2 linked regions of the Elephas maximus indicus genome follow. The protein of the gene in region 2 binds, or shares a complex with, the protein of the main gene of each other region. Links are inferred from orthologs where the notes say so. Each region holds a gene or a part of one and is shown on either strand. Other genes may lie near its edges.

What was found.
Region 1: GATB (region 2) and GATC share a complex: the UniProt entries of both Homo sapiens proteins name them as parts of the heterotrimeric GatCAB amidotransferase (AdT) complex. The link is inferred for Elephas maximus indicus from reciprocal best matches to the Homo sapiens genes GATB and GATC.

Annotation. Positions count from the first base shown.
Region 1 is NC_064840.1:17,838,161-17,846,415, reverse strand, and holds the start of GATC (glutamyl-tRNA(Gln) amidotransferase subunit C, mitochondrial), read right to left. Parts: upstream 3,356-8,255; coding exon 3,152-3,355; intron 3,060-3,151; coding exon 2,887-3,059; intron 1-2,886. Other genes in the region: TRIAP1 (TP53-regulated inhibitor of apoptosis 1), read left to right, coding at 3,334-3,480, 4,450-4,533; cytochrome c oxidase subunit 6A1, mitochondrial, read right to left, coding at 7,369-7,452. UniProt on the Homo sapiens protein: Allows the formation of correctly charged Gln-tRNA(Gln) through the transamidation of misacylated Glu-tRNA(Gln) in the mitochondria. The reaction takes place in the presence of glutamine and ATP through an activated gamma-phospho-Glu-tRNA(Gln).
Region 2 is NC_064831.1:32,094,246-32,102,984, reverse strand, and holds the start of GATB (glutamyl-tRNA(Gln) amidotransferase subunit B, mitochondrial), read right to left. Parts: upstream 3,410-8,739; 5' UTR 3,400-3,409; coding exon 3,224-3,399; intron 626-3,223; coding exon 475-625; intron 1-474. UniProt on the Homo sapiens protein: Allows the formation of correctly charged Gln-tRNA(Gln) through the transamidation of misacylated Glu-tRNA(Gln) in the mitochondria. The reaction takes place in the presence of glutamine and ATP through an activated gamma-phospho-Glu-tRNA(Gln).

The sequences.
Region 1 (8,255 bases), on a different chromosome or scaffold from region 2:
TGATTTTTTCAGTATCATTTGGTAATCAGGTTTCCTATGTAAATAAAATTTCCAAAAAAACAAAATTCATCCCTTTAAATACCACACACTTCCAGTTAATTACTATTTATGATAGCTATTTCTAGAACAGACTCCCACCTTCCTGTTTTCTTAATCATAGACTACCGGGTTTCTGTGATGGTAGCACACCAAGCAGACCTTTAACTTCGCAAATTGCTTAACTTTTCTGGACCTCAGAACCACGTATTAAACAGCAGAATGGGACTAGCTGAACTCCTGAAGTGCCTGTCAATTACTGATTGACTTACTAAATGTCTACCTCACTTCTTGTCTTTCTCAATTGGGGTTGGGGTTTTGCAAGAGAATTTAGCCCAAATGCCCTAAGACACCAGTTCTGATGATAAATCAATTTTTCTCCTATCCGTCTGGACTAGCATTAGTTATGTACCATTCTTGGGAGACTTGAGAAAATAATCACTCAAATCTTTCTGTGTTCCAGTTCGGATAAGAAACACTGTTTGAGAAAGGGTGCAACTGTGAACTAGAAATCCCTGCCCTCTGAAGTTCACAGACAAGTCACTTAAGCCAGAATCTATGGGAAATGCTAATACAGAACCATGGAAAGTGCTGTGGCAGCAGAGAGGTGACATATGTGCTCTGTCAGCCTGTGGACTGACTAATGAGACAGTTATGCTGCTTCTGATTCTTTCTGCCTCTTTTCTGGTATTAGACTGGCAGGAGTCATTTCTCTGGGCGCCCCTGTACTTTCATCTAAAAGCCTATTCCCTCTCTCCTAATTTATTCTTTTGTGTTTGATGCACACTGGAATGGGAGCTAATTGATTTGGTTAAGAGTTTTGGGTTCAAATAACGCTCTGAGGGACACCTGAAGCACGGAAGTATTTGGCTGCAACCAGTGTCAACTAATTCAGTCTCTGGATTTGAGATGAAGGAGAATGAAGTTTCTAGGGGTTAAGTTTAGACGGCTTATCTAGAGCAGAGTCCCAGATTTTCTTACTGCCTATAAGACTTTGGACACATTACTAACCTTTCTGAGTCTCAGTTTCTTCATCTATAAAACACACCAGTATTTACCTTTCAGGGCTGTAGGTGATAACTGAGATAATACATACAAGTTCTTGGTGGCTGGTGTAAGCAAGCTAATCTTTTTTAGCTTAACACAAATGAGATGTTATTAATGCACAGAGAGATTTCTATTAACCAGTCAGCGTTTTTGCAGCTAGTATGGACACTGCCTAAAAACCTTTTAACACGTGTCTCCAGTGGGTTCTATTTCAAACGTTACTGAGGCAGTCTGTTCAAAACATGAGTGTCCCAAAAATGTCACATCTCTAAAATAGAGCCATTAACAAAAATCTGGTTCCTGAATTTATGGAAAGAGACAGATCCCTGAGTGCCAAGCTATGATTCCAGCTATCAAGTCCAAATTCCTCTTCTTTTTCACAGGCTCTTTCCTAAGTATGGCTGCATTTCTTTATAGTTACCCTCTAGATGACTTGTGCAATTCTGACTCCTTTTTGTGCTTCTGTTCCCACCTTCCCCAAATATATTAATAAAAACACTCATCCAACAGACATTTACTGAGTGTCTGTCTGCTCAGTGCTGGACACGGAGAACATGATGAGTAAAACCAGATATGCTCTCTGGAGCTTGGCTACATGGAGGGAGAAGGAAAAAGAATCGAATATCACTCAAATATATGTAAAATTACAGTTCTATTGAATACCATGAGAGAGCCACAGTATACTGAAAGGGAATTTGAGTCAGTACAACAGAAGGAAGACTTTGAGGAAGTGACAGTTGAGATCTGAAGCAAGGATATTACGTATGCAAAAAAGAGGAGTGGATAGGACCCAGATAGAGCTCTAGAAGGGAAAGAGCATGGAGAACTCAAGGAATTATAGCACTGACTCGGAGAGGTGGGCAGAGGCTAAAACAGATGATGCGCGCTAGGATATGGGGAGGCTTTTATCCTGAAAAGCACTGGGATGCCTCCTAAAGGGCTTGGGTAGGGGAATGACATCAAATTTTTGTTCTGAAATGCTGTGTAACTATGGGCAAATTGGTTAACCTCTCTAGACTGGGCATCAGATTGCTAAGTGGAGAAAAGATTCAAAGGAATCAAAGGCTAGAGGTGGGAAAAACAGGTGCCTAATAAGACTTAAATTTCACAAAGCACTTTACATCAGGAAAAGACTAGGACAGACGGTTGTAGGTTGCTCCTATCATTAGAAGCTACAAACCCATTCTTTCTAAGAAGTTGCAGCCCCAAATGGCAAACAAGTCTGCTGCTGGGAGGAAGCTTCTCAAAAAAGATCGTTAAAAATATATATATGAGACCAAACGGTCAACATTTACCCAAAAGCAAAGATGAGAAGGTTGCGTGAGGGGGCAGGGAAGCTACATTAATGGAAATGGAACAACCAGAACTGAAGTAAAGGGACTGTTGACACAATGTGGGCTGTCCAAGAAAAAGGGAACAGTAAGTGCAAAGATCCTAGCGAGGGAAAGAATTCGGCGTGTTCAAGCAGTAAGGCGGCCAGCTGGCTGAAGGTCACTGAGTGAGAAGTGCGGTGGGTCCTAGGGGTAGGCAGGCGGCTCCATCAGGTAGGGCCTGGAAGGCTATGATTAGATTTTATTCCTAGTTACATCGGGAGGCCTCGAGGGCTTTACACACGGGAGTGACAAGATCCATAGTGAACGAGGAGAAGAGTGAAACCACTTACCCGCGGGATGACCGTGGGCAGTTCCTGAATCTCGCTAAGGCTCTTTTCCTCTATGTGAAATGGGGACACCATTAATCGCCACCTGATAGGGCTGCGAAAGCACCACACTCAAGGCTTCTGGGGCCGCAGCCTGAGTTTACCTGTCCTCCAGTACCGACTCCATGGGCTCCACCCCGTCTGTGTCCACGCCACGGAGCCGGTCGGCAAAGGCGATGGCTTTCTCCAGCCGCGCCACGGCTTCGCGGCCACCAAAGTCCACAAGCGCCAGACGCTCCAGGTGTTCTATCAACTCGGCGGTGACCTGACCAGTTCCCTGGGGAGCGAGGCCAGAGGCGTGGGTTACGGACGGGGCCTGCTCCGCCTCCTAGCCCGCTTTGCCACCCGCCTTGACGCCCAGGCCTTTACCTGAGGATCTACCTTGAAGGTGAAGCCCCGGCAGCCGCCCAGCCGGGCCCGAAGGCCCAGCCTCACCATCCGCGCCCACATTTCTCGCCTTCTCAGCCCCCGTAGTGAGCCCGTTACGTAACGCCGAGCGACGCGCCCGAGAGTGATGACATCAGGTGCGGCCCTGACGAGCCGCCGCCGCCATGAACAGCGTTGGGGAAGCATGCACGGACATGAAGCGCGAGTACGACCAGTGCTTCAATCGGTGGTTTGCTGAGAAGTTCCTCAAGGGGGACGGCTCCGGGGACCCGTGCACGGACCTCTTTAAGCGCTATCAGCAGTGTGTTCAGGTGAGTCCGGCTCGAGTCCTCCTGCCGCTACCGCCAAGGCCCCGCGTTCTCTCTACTGTGTCCCCCACCGCAAACTTCGAATTGTGCGGCGGTTGGGACCCGGAGGGTGGGGAAAAGCCGCAATGAGGCCAGTGGCAGGAGACCCCTCCCATACCATCATCACCAAGGCCTCCTGGGTATCTGAGTGACAGAATTAAGTATGTTTGCAGTGCTTTTTGACGGAGCACATTTTTTGGTCCATCTGGTGCTCATCTTAAGCTTGCAAAGTGGGCATCGTTATTTGTATTTTATACCTGGAAAACTCAAGCCCAGAGATAGGAAGTGATTTGTCCAAGTCATTAGAATTAAGTTTGATTCTCTTGGAGGCGGGGAGTGTGTGTGTGGTGTGTACGGACGCGCGTACGCTAGCGCTTTTCTAGCCTGTTGAGGGTCCCGTTGTTTTTGCTATAATCCCTTCATTGTCCCGTTTCTCTCTCTCAGCCACATTCCTCCAGCTGCATCTAGGAAATTATGATCCAGTCCCAAAGGATGTGAAACTGCTTTAAATATAAAAACTAACAGCACTGGGCAGAGCACTTCCAGTGAGTTAACTTATAACATCCTTAGGGTAATTCCAGAATGTAGTTGCTATCTTTATCCCATTTACAGATGAGTAAAGTGAGGTTTCCTCAAGGTCACATAGCCACCAAGTCCTGGAACCAAGATTTGAACCCGTGTCTGTCACTAAGAGTGGTGATAGTTTTTTGTTTGTTTTTTTACATTTAATGGTTTCCTCACCCATTTCCAATTTTTCTGTGGTCTTGCATTTAATTGCTTCATAATGGTAATTTTGTTGATTAAAAAAAGGGCATGGGGCTTGAATCTGGGTCGGTAGTCTGATTTTACTTTTGTGCCATCAATATTCTATTTACAAACTTTGGTCCTCAAGCGTCATATAAACCTTTATGATGTGTTTTCTCCTTCCATCAGAAAGCAATAAAGGAGAAGGAGATTCCTATTGAAGGACTGGAGTTCATGGGCCACAGCAAAGAAAAGCCTAAAAACTCTTCTTGACCTTGACAGTCACCTTGAAAATGAACTCCTCATATCAGCAAATTGAAGACTCTGGATTTTGTCAATTAAGACTGTGAAGAAAGCCATTGATTTGATGAGGAGTTCAGGAGGGAGTTTTATTCCTTCCTTCTTGATGCTTTCCTCTCACTTGCTTCGAGGCAATTTCTCACTTGCTCTGGCATTACGGGAATGGAATGTGCTAAAGACGATTTCTTGAGATTATGGCTGCAATACTTAGTCTGGGATCAGCTTTAAGTAGACTTTATATGTAAATAACTATAAAATAGGCTGCAAAGGATATTAGGTATACTGTCCTGGGGTCATTGTTCATGGAATCTATTGGTTAGCACTTCTCTCAGGAAGCTAATGCTCTAGAAAGGACCCCAACATGGGAGCATAGTTTTATTTTTGTATAGTAACTTAACGGTTAAGATCGCTGGTAGCTTGGGTTAGCCAAAAGGAAGACAGCTTTTAACAAACTTACAGCCTTGCCTTAAGATTTGACAGCTTCAAGTGTTGCAGCGGACACTATCTCAGAGCCTATTACAGTGTAGTTCAGGAATTTAGATACTTGGCGTAGCTATGGAGAAAGATCCTAAGTTGCAAAGATTTGCCATTGCTGGCTTCCAGCCCAAGTCAATGAATTAAGTCAACCTGTGTTATCATAAAAATGTCAAAATGCTGCATCTGGTTAAATGGGAGGAAAAAAAGAGTTTGCTTTATTTGCCTTCTTTACTTATCTTGCCCTGTTAACATCTGTAATCATGAAAATGGAATAAATCATAACATTTAGTTTCTCATTGTTTGCCCTTCAACTTCAGTGCATCAAACAACTACTACCTTGTATCCCCACACACCAAAGAAACACTGAATAGGGTTTTATATGTTTTATAATTTAAAGGTGAAGAAAAAGTAAAGATTTGCTAAAGCTAGGTTGTATGGTATAGCCATTTGCAACTTTACTGATTTCTAAAACTTTTTTCTGCAATAAAAAATCAAAAACCTGTTGCCATCAATTCTGAGTCACAGTGACGCTATAGGACAGAGTAGAACTGCCCCATAGTGTTTTCCAAGGAGCAGCTGGTGGATTCAAACTGCTGACCTTTGGTTAGCAGCTGTAGCTCTTAACCACTGCATCACCAGAGCTCCATTTTTCTGCAATAGGCTATGCAAATACCTTCTTAAAAAATTTATATTGTGGCAAAAAAAAAAAAAAAATGTTAGGACCCACTGAACAGTTATATACTTTAGAATATCGTGTAGCCCCCACAATTGTGTATCTTGAATTTGGTTCAATTTATTATTTGCCCAAAGGTTATATGAAACTCTAAAACTTGATTCACAGAAGACCTAAATTCTATTACGTTCTCTCCACTTTACCAATTCATATTTAATGTGATAGTCCTTAATGTCATCTAAAACATTTTTCATTTACATATGTGTGGACTGGCTGAAGTCCATTATATAAGGATTATAAAAGATATTTGGAATCCAGCCCAGGGAGGTTAGGCAGGAAGCTGAAGTTAAATATATCTGTTCCGAACTCAGACTGACCACAAGCACACCAGCTCTACAGGGACTCAAGTGTAGGCTGGATTAGAGAACCAGGTGGCAAAGATAACTCGGGGATTCTTTTTCTCTTACTGGAGCGTGGCTTTCCCACCATGTTTCTATACACCTCACCTTTGCACTACCAGTTTCATGTATGTACTATGCCATACAGAAACCTTGTAGCCTCTTTAACCTTCCTATAAAACTGTCCAATTGAGCCTTGCTTTGAAAAGAATAAGCCAGCTGCAAGCCAACCATGTTCTTTTATTGTAACTCATATTGAGAGGTGCTTGATCTGAAAGCTGCATATGCTAGCCCAGAAACTCACTTCCGAACCTTTGACTTTTGGGAAAAATTTGTAGGAAATTATCTTGAGCAGTCCTCTTTAGTTTTATTTCAGGGAGTGAGAAGGATATTCTAGCTAATTAATTACCAAAATAGATTTAAGAATCCCTGAAGTATAATTCCAATGCTCAAGCATCAGGTATCTAACCCTATTCATACTACTTTTAAGTCTAAAAGACAGATTAATAACTTGCTTTATAGCCATGTTGTGCCAAAAGTACTAATGTTAAATTGCTTCTGAGGGAATAATTTCCTCACCCTATTTTGACTTCATCCTCCCCATAAAGTGACTCCAACTACCTCAGCTACTTCATAGGTTTTAAATTTTGATAAGGAGTTCTTATCGGGCTTCTCTCAATTCTTATAGCTACAGGATAGAAAAAAGTTATCTGGCTATAGGGAGTATTCTCAGCAAATGCTAGGGAATGGGAAGCAACAAAGCTGAGACCTGGAGGAAGCACTTTTTCTTGAAAGTCTCAGGTACCTCTTTCAGATGTAAACCAGAGCCATTCTGCTGGCCACTCCACATCTTTGCCATTCAAAGTCTGTCAAGATCCAATCTAGATAATTCATTAGCTTCACTGCACCACCCACCCCAGACACAAGAAACCCAATATAGGCCTGTTGTAAACACTTATTCAGTGGGCTGAACCGGACCTGAAACGTAAACAGCAGCCACAGACCCTAGTATGCAGAAAGAGAAATAACATTAATGCTAACTTCTGAGGGAAAAATGCCACCAAACAATTCAACTCCCAGGTCATGACTGTTATTTATTTACGGCATCTCCTGCCCCATGCAAAATAATGGAAGATCAGTGTATTGGTCACCATTTGATACAAGTAAAAGTGAGCTTAAGGTCCCATACACTTCCTGGCCCTCATGCAGAGTAATGGTCCAAACCAGTGCTGTGGTCCCCAGTAGTGGTCCAGGTTCTCTTTAGTCATCTTCATAGCCAGTTGGAAGTGGATTCACATGAGGGTTATGAAACAGAGTATGGTTACCATCTCCCCAGGGAAAGGGCTGTGGAGTGAAGATGTCAATTAGACAATTCCAGAAAGTAGTTCAGAAACAGCATGCCTGTGAACTGCTTAATATGTAAAAAAAAAAAAAACACGGAAATTAGTCCTTACACTACTCACATATTTCAGCCTTCCCACAATTTAGGAAGATCTTATAGCTGCCAAACCAAAACCACACCCATTGCTGTCAAGTTAATTCCGACTCATGCGACCCTAGAGGAGAAAGTAGAACTGCCCCACAGGGTTTCCAAGGCTATAAATCTTCAAAGAAGCAGACTGCAACATATTTCTCAAGTGAAACAGCTGCTGGGCTCAAACTGCTGACCTTTTGGTTAACAGCCCAGCACTTAACCACTGCACCACCAGAGTTCCTATATAACTACCAGCAGGTCCTTAAAGTAAACAGGAGAAAAAGCAAGATCCAGTTGGTTACTCATAAGCCTCTCCTTGGTGACTAGTGTATCTCGTACTGTGTTTATGTAAGTGTAATTCTCAAATCACCTGTATCAGAACGGTGGGAATGGGGGAGGGATGCTATCTAAATGCAGTTTTCTGGGATCCATCCCAGACCTGAAACAATCTCTGGATTGGAAAACTGCAACTCACTCCCTGTTCTTGATTATTTTACATACTACATTTGACAGCAGTGATTTTCAACCTGCGACAATTTTGCTTCCCCAGGGGACACTGGGCAATGTCTAGAAACATTTTTTAGGTAATGCCACTGGTATCTGTGTCCTGGTGGCACAGTGGTTAAGAGCTCAGCTGCTAGCCAAAGGTCGGCAGTTCAAATCCACCAGCCAC
Region 2 (8,739 bases):
TCCACACCTCCCATCCAATTTCCCACAACAGTCCTCCCCTTTACTGAATTAGGAGTCCCTCATCTGGGTTTCAAAATCATCCTACACATATTAACTTCACAGGATAATAGCACTACATTGTATTTGTTTATAGGACACAACCTCCCCACTAGCCTGTAAATTCCTCGAATGTAAGGATCTTCACTCATTTTTGTGTTCCAGTTCGTAACAGTGTCTGGTGGTTAGCAGACACTCTAAAATGTCTGTGAAACAAATGAAAAAATGTATGAATGAACGGATGACTTTTGGACTTAGAAATAGAATTTTAGAGATGGGTCTTTAGAAATCATTTAGTGTATCCCATTTCATATAAAATTCCTTAAACAGGTATTTCTTAAGAGTTGCGTCAGGATATTAACACAAGGAAAACATTATCCATGTTCAAGAAAACAAAGACATTTTACTAATGAAAATAGGATTAAATAAAAGGCTTACCGGCAAAGTTCCAGGCAGAGACGCGTCAAAAAAAGAAACCAAAGAATTTGGAGGTGCTGCAAAGTGGACTTGCGATCCAGAGAAGAGTTTAGAATTGGAAGAAATCTGTGCATGAATTTCCAAACCTACCACAGCTGCCCATTCGTGTTCACTAAAGAGAAAGACACACGGTTAAGAAGTAGTTACGCGTGAATTTCTATGGGCCTAAAGCCCAAATATTCATTTCCTAATTGTGTTTTTAACTTACTAAAATTTTATATCTTCACATTTAAAAAATGTGTCCTATTTTATGGGTGATTAAATGAAAAACAAGTCATAATGAACACCTTGCAACAAGACTGGCAAAATAAAATTAATTTACAACTTGGTGTTAGCAGAGTTCACCGTACAAATAGAAAGGTGACACAGAATGGAACAATTTGGCATCTTAAAATAATTTAGAAATGGGTAGCAGGTGACAAGTGCCTGGCTGACTTCGGCAAAAGGCAGCATTTTCTAAATTACTTGTCCCTTATCAATTAATCACTTGGTAAATGAAGAAAACTGACCTTGTGAACATTATTTAGAATTAACATAAACATCAAGATTCTATTATTACAGGAACAACAGTAAATAAATCATTCCAGATCTCATTATTAAAAAAGGAAATTCTCTATCATGTTGTGAATACATTTTATAACAACGGCTTGCAAATACAATTACCAGAATGACTCGGATATAACAGATTACCACTAAATGGTACTACTGGGAATTTTGTGCCTAGGAAAACATTAAACCATTACATGTGACATTTTTTTTGGTCCCCAAAATGATTTTCAATTCCTAAGATCTAATTTTAGGTTCCTTTGCTTATTTCTTCAGGTTTGACTGCTATCAAGTCAACCCAGAAAAAAAAAAAAAAAAGCCAGTGCCGTCGAGTTGATTCCGACTCATAGCAAAGGCACCGTTAAATGCTATAATAACCTCTTATCTGGCGACTCCTACTCTGCTGGTCTGCACCATTCATTTCATGCACAGGTCTCTCCAGGCGCTTTTAAGTGTGCTTATTCCCTCTGAAAGTCATGTACGCTGGGCAATCTCCAGAAGGTCTGTTTACACACACTCTCTCCATATTTTGTCTGTTCCAAGCACGCTCTTCTCCCAAGCAACTTTCTGTACTATCTAGATTTTTGTTTACACGTATTGAGTTTTGTTTTCATCGTTTCAACCCATGAAGCTCTGCATGTAGTAGTGTATAGCGTAGTATAGTATAGTATCGCGAGAAGATGAATTCCTTCTTTTTAAGGTGTGGGAACACAGCCTTTAACTGAGTGGAATTCAACTTAAGAGTTCATCAGAAATTCTGCATTCACTGAAGCATTACTCAAAGTATTTTCACACTTACACTGCATGAGAGAAAAAAAATTTATTTTCAGTTCACAGTGAGATAATCTGAAATTTATGAAAAGACAGAAACTGAATGCTTCAGGATATTTCCCCTAATTATCTCACAGGATAAACAAAATATTAGAAACATGTCTTACGTTTCTGTACTTAAAAAAAAAAAACATTTGTCTTATATGACGAAGCATAAACAGCTGTTCAAAGAATACCTAACAAAACAAACTAAACTTTCTACATTAAGAGGGAAAATCTCTTCCATTTGCTGCATTCTTCTAGTTCTAGACACACATGTTCAATATAAATCACCTCCATAACTAGCTACTGTTGACTAATGACATTAAGGCACCACTATCCAGCGCTTGGTTTCCAAGGCTGGTGGTGCAGTGGTTAAAAGTTGGGCTACTAACCAAAAGGTTGGCCGTTTGAATCCACCAGCCGCTCCTTGGAAACCCTCTGGGGCAGTTCTATTCTGTCCTATAGGGTCGCTATGAGTCCAAATCCACTCCACGGCAATGAGTTTTTTTTTTTTTTTTTGCTTAATATGTAGAGAAGCAGACTGCCACAGCTTTCTCAGGTGGAGCGAGCCGGCCTTTCTGTTAACAGCCAAGTGCTTTAACCACTGTACCACCAGGCCTCCATTAAGAGCTGGATTAAAAAAAATAAAAAACTAAACCCTTTGCTGTTGAATAGATTCCAACTCACAGCGACTCTGTAGGACAGAGTAAAACTGTCCCCAAGGAATGGTTGTTGGATTCGAACTGCTGACCTTTACGATTTGCAACCCTAGCGCGTAGCCACTAAACTATCAGGGCTCCCCCTAAACATTACAGCCTCGGAAACCCTATGGGGCAGTTTTACTCTTGTCTTGCAGGATCACTATGAGTCGGAATCGACTGGACTGATCTGGCTTTTGGTTTTTTATCCAGAGTTTATACTAAAGGCTCCCCTTCTACCTTAGGAACAGTGCTGGCCGATAATAGCACTAATTAATGTCAGCTAAATATAATGCTTCTTCAAGTGTCACCGACCCCGCTGCTAACATTAAGGTGACTGGATCTACTCTTCTATCTCTGCAGCCTCGGATTCAAGGCACCACTTGCGATTTTACACTCCCGAGTTCCTCTAATGCGCCTATCTATACGAAGACAGTGATTTTGTGTGTGGGGGCAAGGCTGATAGAAGACCTGTTTCGTATTTTCATTTAGGTTTCAAGCCTCCAAATTACAGCCCAACCCCTCCCCTTCCCTCCCGCCCCACACCAAAACATACAGACAAAAGGCTCGACCGTAGTGGCCACCACCATCTCCCCCCGTCTCGTCGTTTCATCTAACTCTTAGATGGGCTGTAATGGCATGAAATAGTATACCCTTTCCTCGGCTTCTGGGCTGTGATTAGTGGCTGCAGAGCCAAAGAGCTCTGTCCTCTCATCCCGCTGAGTGTGAAGTCATTCCGAGCGCCTAGTCCGTGGCGAGAACCACCGTCCACACAGGCGAAAGCCCAACGCCTTCCAGCACAGCCCCATCGAAGCATGGGCGCCGCCATTGTACCGCCAGCGTTTTGGTCAGGTGACACAGCCGCCCTCTGCCGCGAGGCTTCCTGGGAGGCGTAGTTCCGGGAATGTGTAAAAACTCTAAAGGCTCGGACCGGAAGACTACTACTTCCGGCGAGCATTGCGACCCGAAGGTGGCCGGAACCCTGTCGGGAAGGGAAGGAAAGGAGAAGTAGAGGACGGGATAGGGTGATTTGTAAGTCGGGAGGTGTGACTCCTCCTCGCGGGGGACTGGAGAGGGTTGTGAGCGTGTGTCAGTTTTGAGTGTAAGCGCTTGCTGCTGGAGATCTGGTGCTGAGAACCCTGGCCGTGATATTATAGCCCAATTAATCTTGCGATGTAAATGACCTTGACATCTTGGCGAAGACTTCCTGGATCGCCAAACTCACAATTAGTTTCTCGGTCAACGCAGTTCACACACCTTTGGGCATTAGTTCAACAAGTACTTATTTGCTTGCCTTGTATACGCCAGGCACAGTTCTTAGGCCCTGGGGATACAGCAGAGAGCAAGACGGTCATGACCCATAAGCTCATGGAGCTTACTTTCTAGGGAAAGGAGACATGCAAAAGAGCTAGCAAAATAAGATAATTTCGTATGAGTAATAAATAATATGTTTAACCGGAGGCGCTTGGAAACAGGCTGACCTAGATAGAACCTTCAGGTGCGTTTTTACTTACTCTCCTGTTTGTTCTTGGCTAGTATCTAAACTATTCTCCTTAATGTGCGATGAAGTCTAAGCAGATACTGTTATTCCAGCAGAGGTTCCTGCTTCAAAACTCACATCCCTTGTTGAAACTTGCAAGAACTTCTTGTTTTTGAACATGCAATCTAAAATATCCATTCAACCATCCTCTATTATATCATGCTATTTAATTCTCCACTTAGTACTTAGGACTCTCTGATGTTTATCTTCTGTCTCTATAACCTCCTTTAGAATGGGGACCTTGTATGTCTTATTTAACACAGTAGTCCCTGAGCACAAAGTAGGCCTCTAAAAATTTTAATAGTGGTTAAATAAAGTAGCTCATTTTGGAGAATGCGTTTGACCAAGGATTAAATGGAGGAACTAGAAGAGGGGATAGGGTATTTTTACACAATGCGTCTGTTTGCAGGCTGCCTTGCTCCCCGCCCCCTCCCCCCCCCCCCCGCTCTGTGGGGCACCCTCACAAGCGCTGCCATGCCAGTCCTCTTCCATATGTTGCTGTAAAATCAATAACATACCTGCTTACCTCACAGGTGGGGAGGGTGCAGTGGCAAACAAACACAGAAGGTACCGTTATTTGCATAAAAATGCTGTAGTCGCTCTGAAGAGAGCTGGTGAATGGGGGGGGCAGTGGAGGCAAAGAGAAATAGAATAGTTTTAGTAGATTTAGGGAATAAGGTTGAAAGACTTGGTGATGGATTGGATATGGTGGTGAGATACTAGGAGGGTTAACTAACTCCTGGATTTCTGTCTTGCACACCTGGGTGGCTGATGGAGTTATTCACTGAGATAAGGAAACTATAAAAGAGCCGGGCTTGCTGGGTTGCCTTGGAGACATCCAAGAAGATAAGTAAGCATCATTGATGCTTAACTCTGACTATGGAGCAGAGGAAAAAGCTGCACACTCTGCATACTTCACACCAATAGGTTAGTAGTTATTGATCAATAACCTATTGATTAACTAATGATTCATTTCCAATAATACTCTGATGTGGTTATATTACACAATTTAATCCCTCTATACACTAGGAAGTGCCTGGCTAGCTCAGTCGATAGTGCATGAGACTCAATCTCAGGGTTGTGAGTTTGAGCCCCATGTTGAGATGTACTTTGGAAATCCTGGTAGTGTAGTGGTTAAGAGCTAAGACTGCTAACCAAAAGGTCGGCAGTTTAAATCCACCAGGTGCTCCTTGGAAACCCTATGGGGCAGATCTACTCTGTCCTATAGGGTCATTATGAGTTGCAATTGACTCAACGGCAATGAGTTTTTTTTTTAATATACAAGGAGGCAATTTTTAAGTACCCTAATTGAAATCATTATTATTTACTTTTTCTATCTCTTCTGCTTTCTCATCCACTATCACCTATCTGAAACATTACAGCAGAAGCACTTTCACATGGCCAAGAATAAAATGAGAGAATTGACAGAGAGTGGAAAGTCGAGGTGAAGACTTGTTCCAAAATTTACCCCTAATTATTGCCCTTTATATCAGGTTCAGATCATTCTTTAGAACTTTCAGGAGTTTTTCTCCACTGAACTTCTGTGTTTACCGCCTTTAGGTAAGCCTGCCTTGTCTTCCGTACTTAACACCTCAGGTTGTTCTGGCCCAACTGGGGGTCAGGAGAGTTGCATCTGAGCAGAGCATGTTTCTGCCTTTGATAAGACTGGACAAGAGAAAGAATCCTGTATATCAAATGTGAGCATGGGCATCCTCTAGCCAAAAGTAGAGGGAGGCCCTTGTTACCGCTGGTAATCCGCATACTTAGAACATTCACTCCCTAACACAGGGGAGCTGGAGCTGTTGTGAGAACCACTTAAGAAAGAGCAACATGCCCAAAGAAAATCCTCATTTATGGGCAAAATGCACTATAATGGAAACTCATCTTTGTTTATGAAGAATATTATGCAGTGACAGGATACCATTTCAAAAGCCCCTACCCCACCACTGGAGGGAGAGAAAATCCTATGCATATCAGTGTATTTGACAAGTCAAAGCTTTCCAATTCAGTGTGTCTTACATTTAATCATGGCTCTTTCAAAATCCCACAAGAGCCAAAGGTGGAAATAAGGGCTTTTCATTGACTTTCCTGGCTTCCCATCGACTTTCCTGGCTTCCCTTTCCCACAAGATTATCTATGATTTCCAGAAATGCCTGCTGATTTCCTTCTGCTTGGTCTGGTGTTTATGAGTGCACTGTTTGCCAAGTGCCCCTCCTGCCTGGCTAGTCAGGTGCTGCCCCTTGGGACCATTTCCTACCTCCCTCCTGCATGCCAAATCTGATATCCATCAGAACTCTGTTACAGACAGCTCTCTAGCTGAGAGAGCTATTTTGGTTCCACCAAAAAGGTGGCTGCCATCTGGAAGATACAGAGACTTTCATTTTCAAGGAACTCAGGAGGTAGTAGGACTGGGTTCCCGGCAAAAACAACATTTTCTGAGGGAGAGTCTTTCAGCTCTAATTTTATCCACATAATTCACACAGTACAAATCGGTTTAGAGTAAGTTTTTCAGAAGATATGAAAGCTAGAGAAGAGTTTTGAGTTGTTACTTACGAATGGCAATGGTTTGGAAGCATGTCAAAGAAACATGTTGGTTTTTGCTTAGTATTCTTCAGAGACTCTTGGAATTTCAGAGTTGGAACTGACTGCCTCACTTCTATGTTTGACTCAAAATTCCCAGGTATCTAGATAAATGTATTGATTTCTTAACACAGATCATTTTTCCCCCAAATCTGAGTTGTGTGTAACTGCAATCACTCCCTTTCATATCCTTTCACTGATTCGGGGTGGGGGGATAATAGGAAAAACAGGGTGTTCTAGGTGTTATAACTTCTTCAGTTACCCGGGTAGAATTTGTGAGACTAATACCCGTAGTTCTAAGCTTTCCTTTTAAAAAATGCAGTAAATAATTCAAGTGAAAACATTAAGATTTCAAATCAAATTAAAAGGAGATAGCTTCCACTATTAGTTTTGACAATGCACCACGGCAGTGCTTCTGAAAATCGATATGTATACATTTTTGAATCTTAAAATTGTGTTAACTAACCTGTTCTTTGTTTAACTGCTTTTGTCCTGTGGAAACAAAGCCAATGCCTTAATAAAGTTCAGTGGACTAATAAAAAGGAGCCCTGGTGGCACAATTATTACCCACTCGGCTGCTAACCGAAAGGTCGGCGGTTAGAACCCACCAGCCACTCCATGGTAGATGTGGCAGTCTGCTTCCATGAAGATTTACAGTGTTGGAAACCCTATGGGGCACTTATACTCTGTCCTGTAGAGTTACTATGAGTTGGAATCCTCTCAACGGCACACAATGACAGCAGACTAATAAAGAAATGCTCCTTGCAGTCCAATAGAGCTGAATGTGGACGATTATCTCAGTATTTCTTAACATATTTCTAAAGAAATCACCTTTGAGGGTTTGATCCTTCTGTAGGGCTGTAGTTTCTCTCTGTTTTCTGGCTTCTAAGGCAATAGAAGTCAGCCAGCTGCCTTGGAATTTTAAGCCATGTGGCTAGGGAGTGAGTTCTCTTTAAAAACACACACACAAAGGAATAACACTTAAAATGATGTACGTATGGTGAAAATTGACCAATTTGTTTTCAGATAGGAAGAACACTGGAACGAAAGGAGGTCCTGTTTTTGAAAAAGCATTCCGAAAATGTAAAGCTCCTCCACAGAAAATCCGCATTTTAAGATCCAGTTAAGTGTCGTTAGGGGGAAAAGAAAGACTGGGAATGCATGCATGCTGGGCAATGGGGAGAAAAAGATTCGTTTCCTTTTATTTTACCATTAATGTCTTGATTCTGATAAAATACTGATGCGGAGGGAACAATTGCTTTCTCTAGAAGATTGCTTTGAGGCAAAGAAATCTATAACTTTTTCTTCTTTTCCAATGCGAGGAAATAGCACAGCCTGTCCAATGTCTTTGTAGAGATGAAGTGCCATCTAGGGAAGATGAAGCCAATACATAGCTGCTATTAGGCTTCCTGCCCCATAAACTGTAATCTCTCTATGCTCTTCCCTCTTCTATCTGGTCTCAAGGGACAGTTTACCATTTCCCCAGGCATCTCCTCATCCAGAAAGCTGACTAATCCCTGAGAATAAACAGGAATTATGCCCAAGTAAGCCCCTCCTCAGCCCTACACAATTCCCTTGACTTACCACCTACTTGAAAGAAGATACAATGGTAGAATTCTCACTTTCCATGCAGGAGACCAGGGTTCAATTCCCGGCCAGTGTACCTCATGCACAACTACCACCCATCTGTCAGTGGAGACTTCTGTGTTGCTATGATGTTGAACTTCCAGACTAAGACAGAGTAGGAAGAAAGGCCTGGCAATCTACTTCTGAAAATCCACCAGTGAAAACCCTTTGGATCACAACAGTCCTGCTATGCACTAGGGAGCTCGCTCCATTGTGTTTTGGAATTGGGTATTTAGCCTTTAAAGATAGAGAGCTTGTACACACACATAAACACATTGACTTTTTTTTAAGCAGCAAGTATCTTATTTCAGGATCATGTATAAATAATCATCAGGAGCTTTTAGGTTTCATAACAGATGATATTTTTATATGACAGATCATTTTGGTTTTAAATATGAAGATGTTTTGTAGTAAAAGTATGAT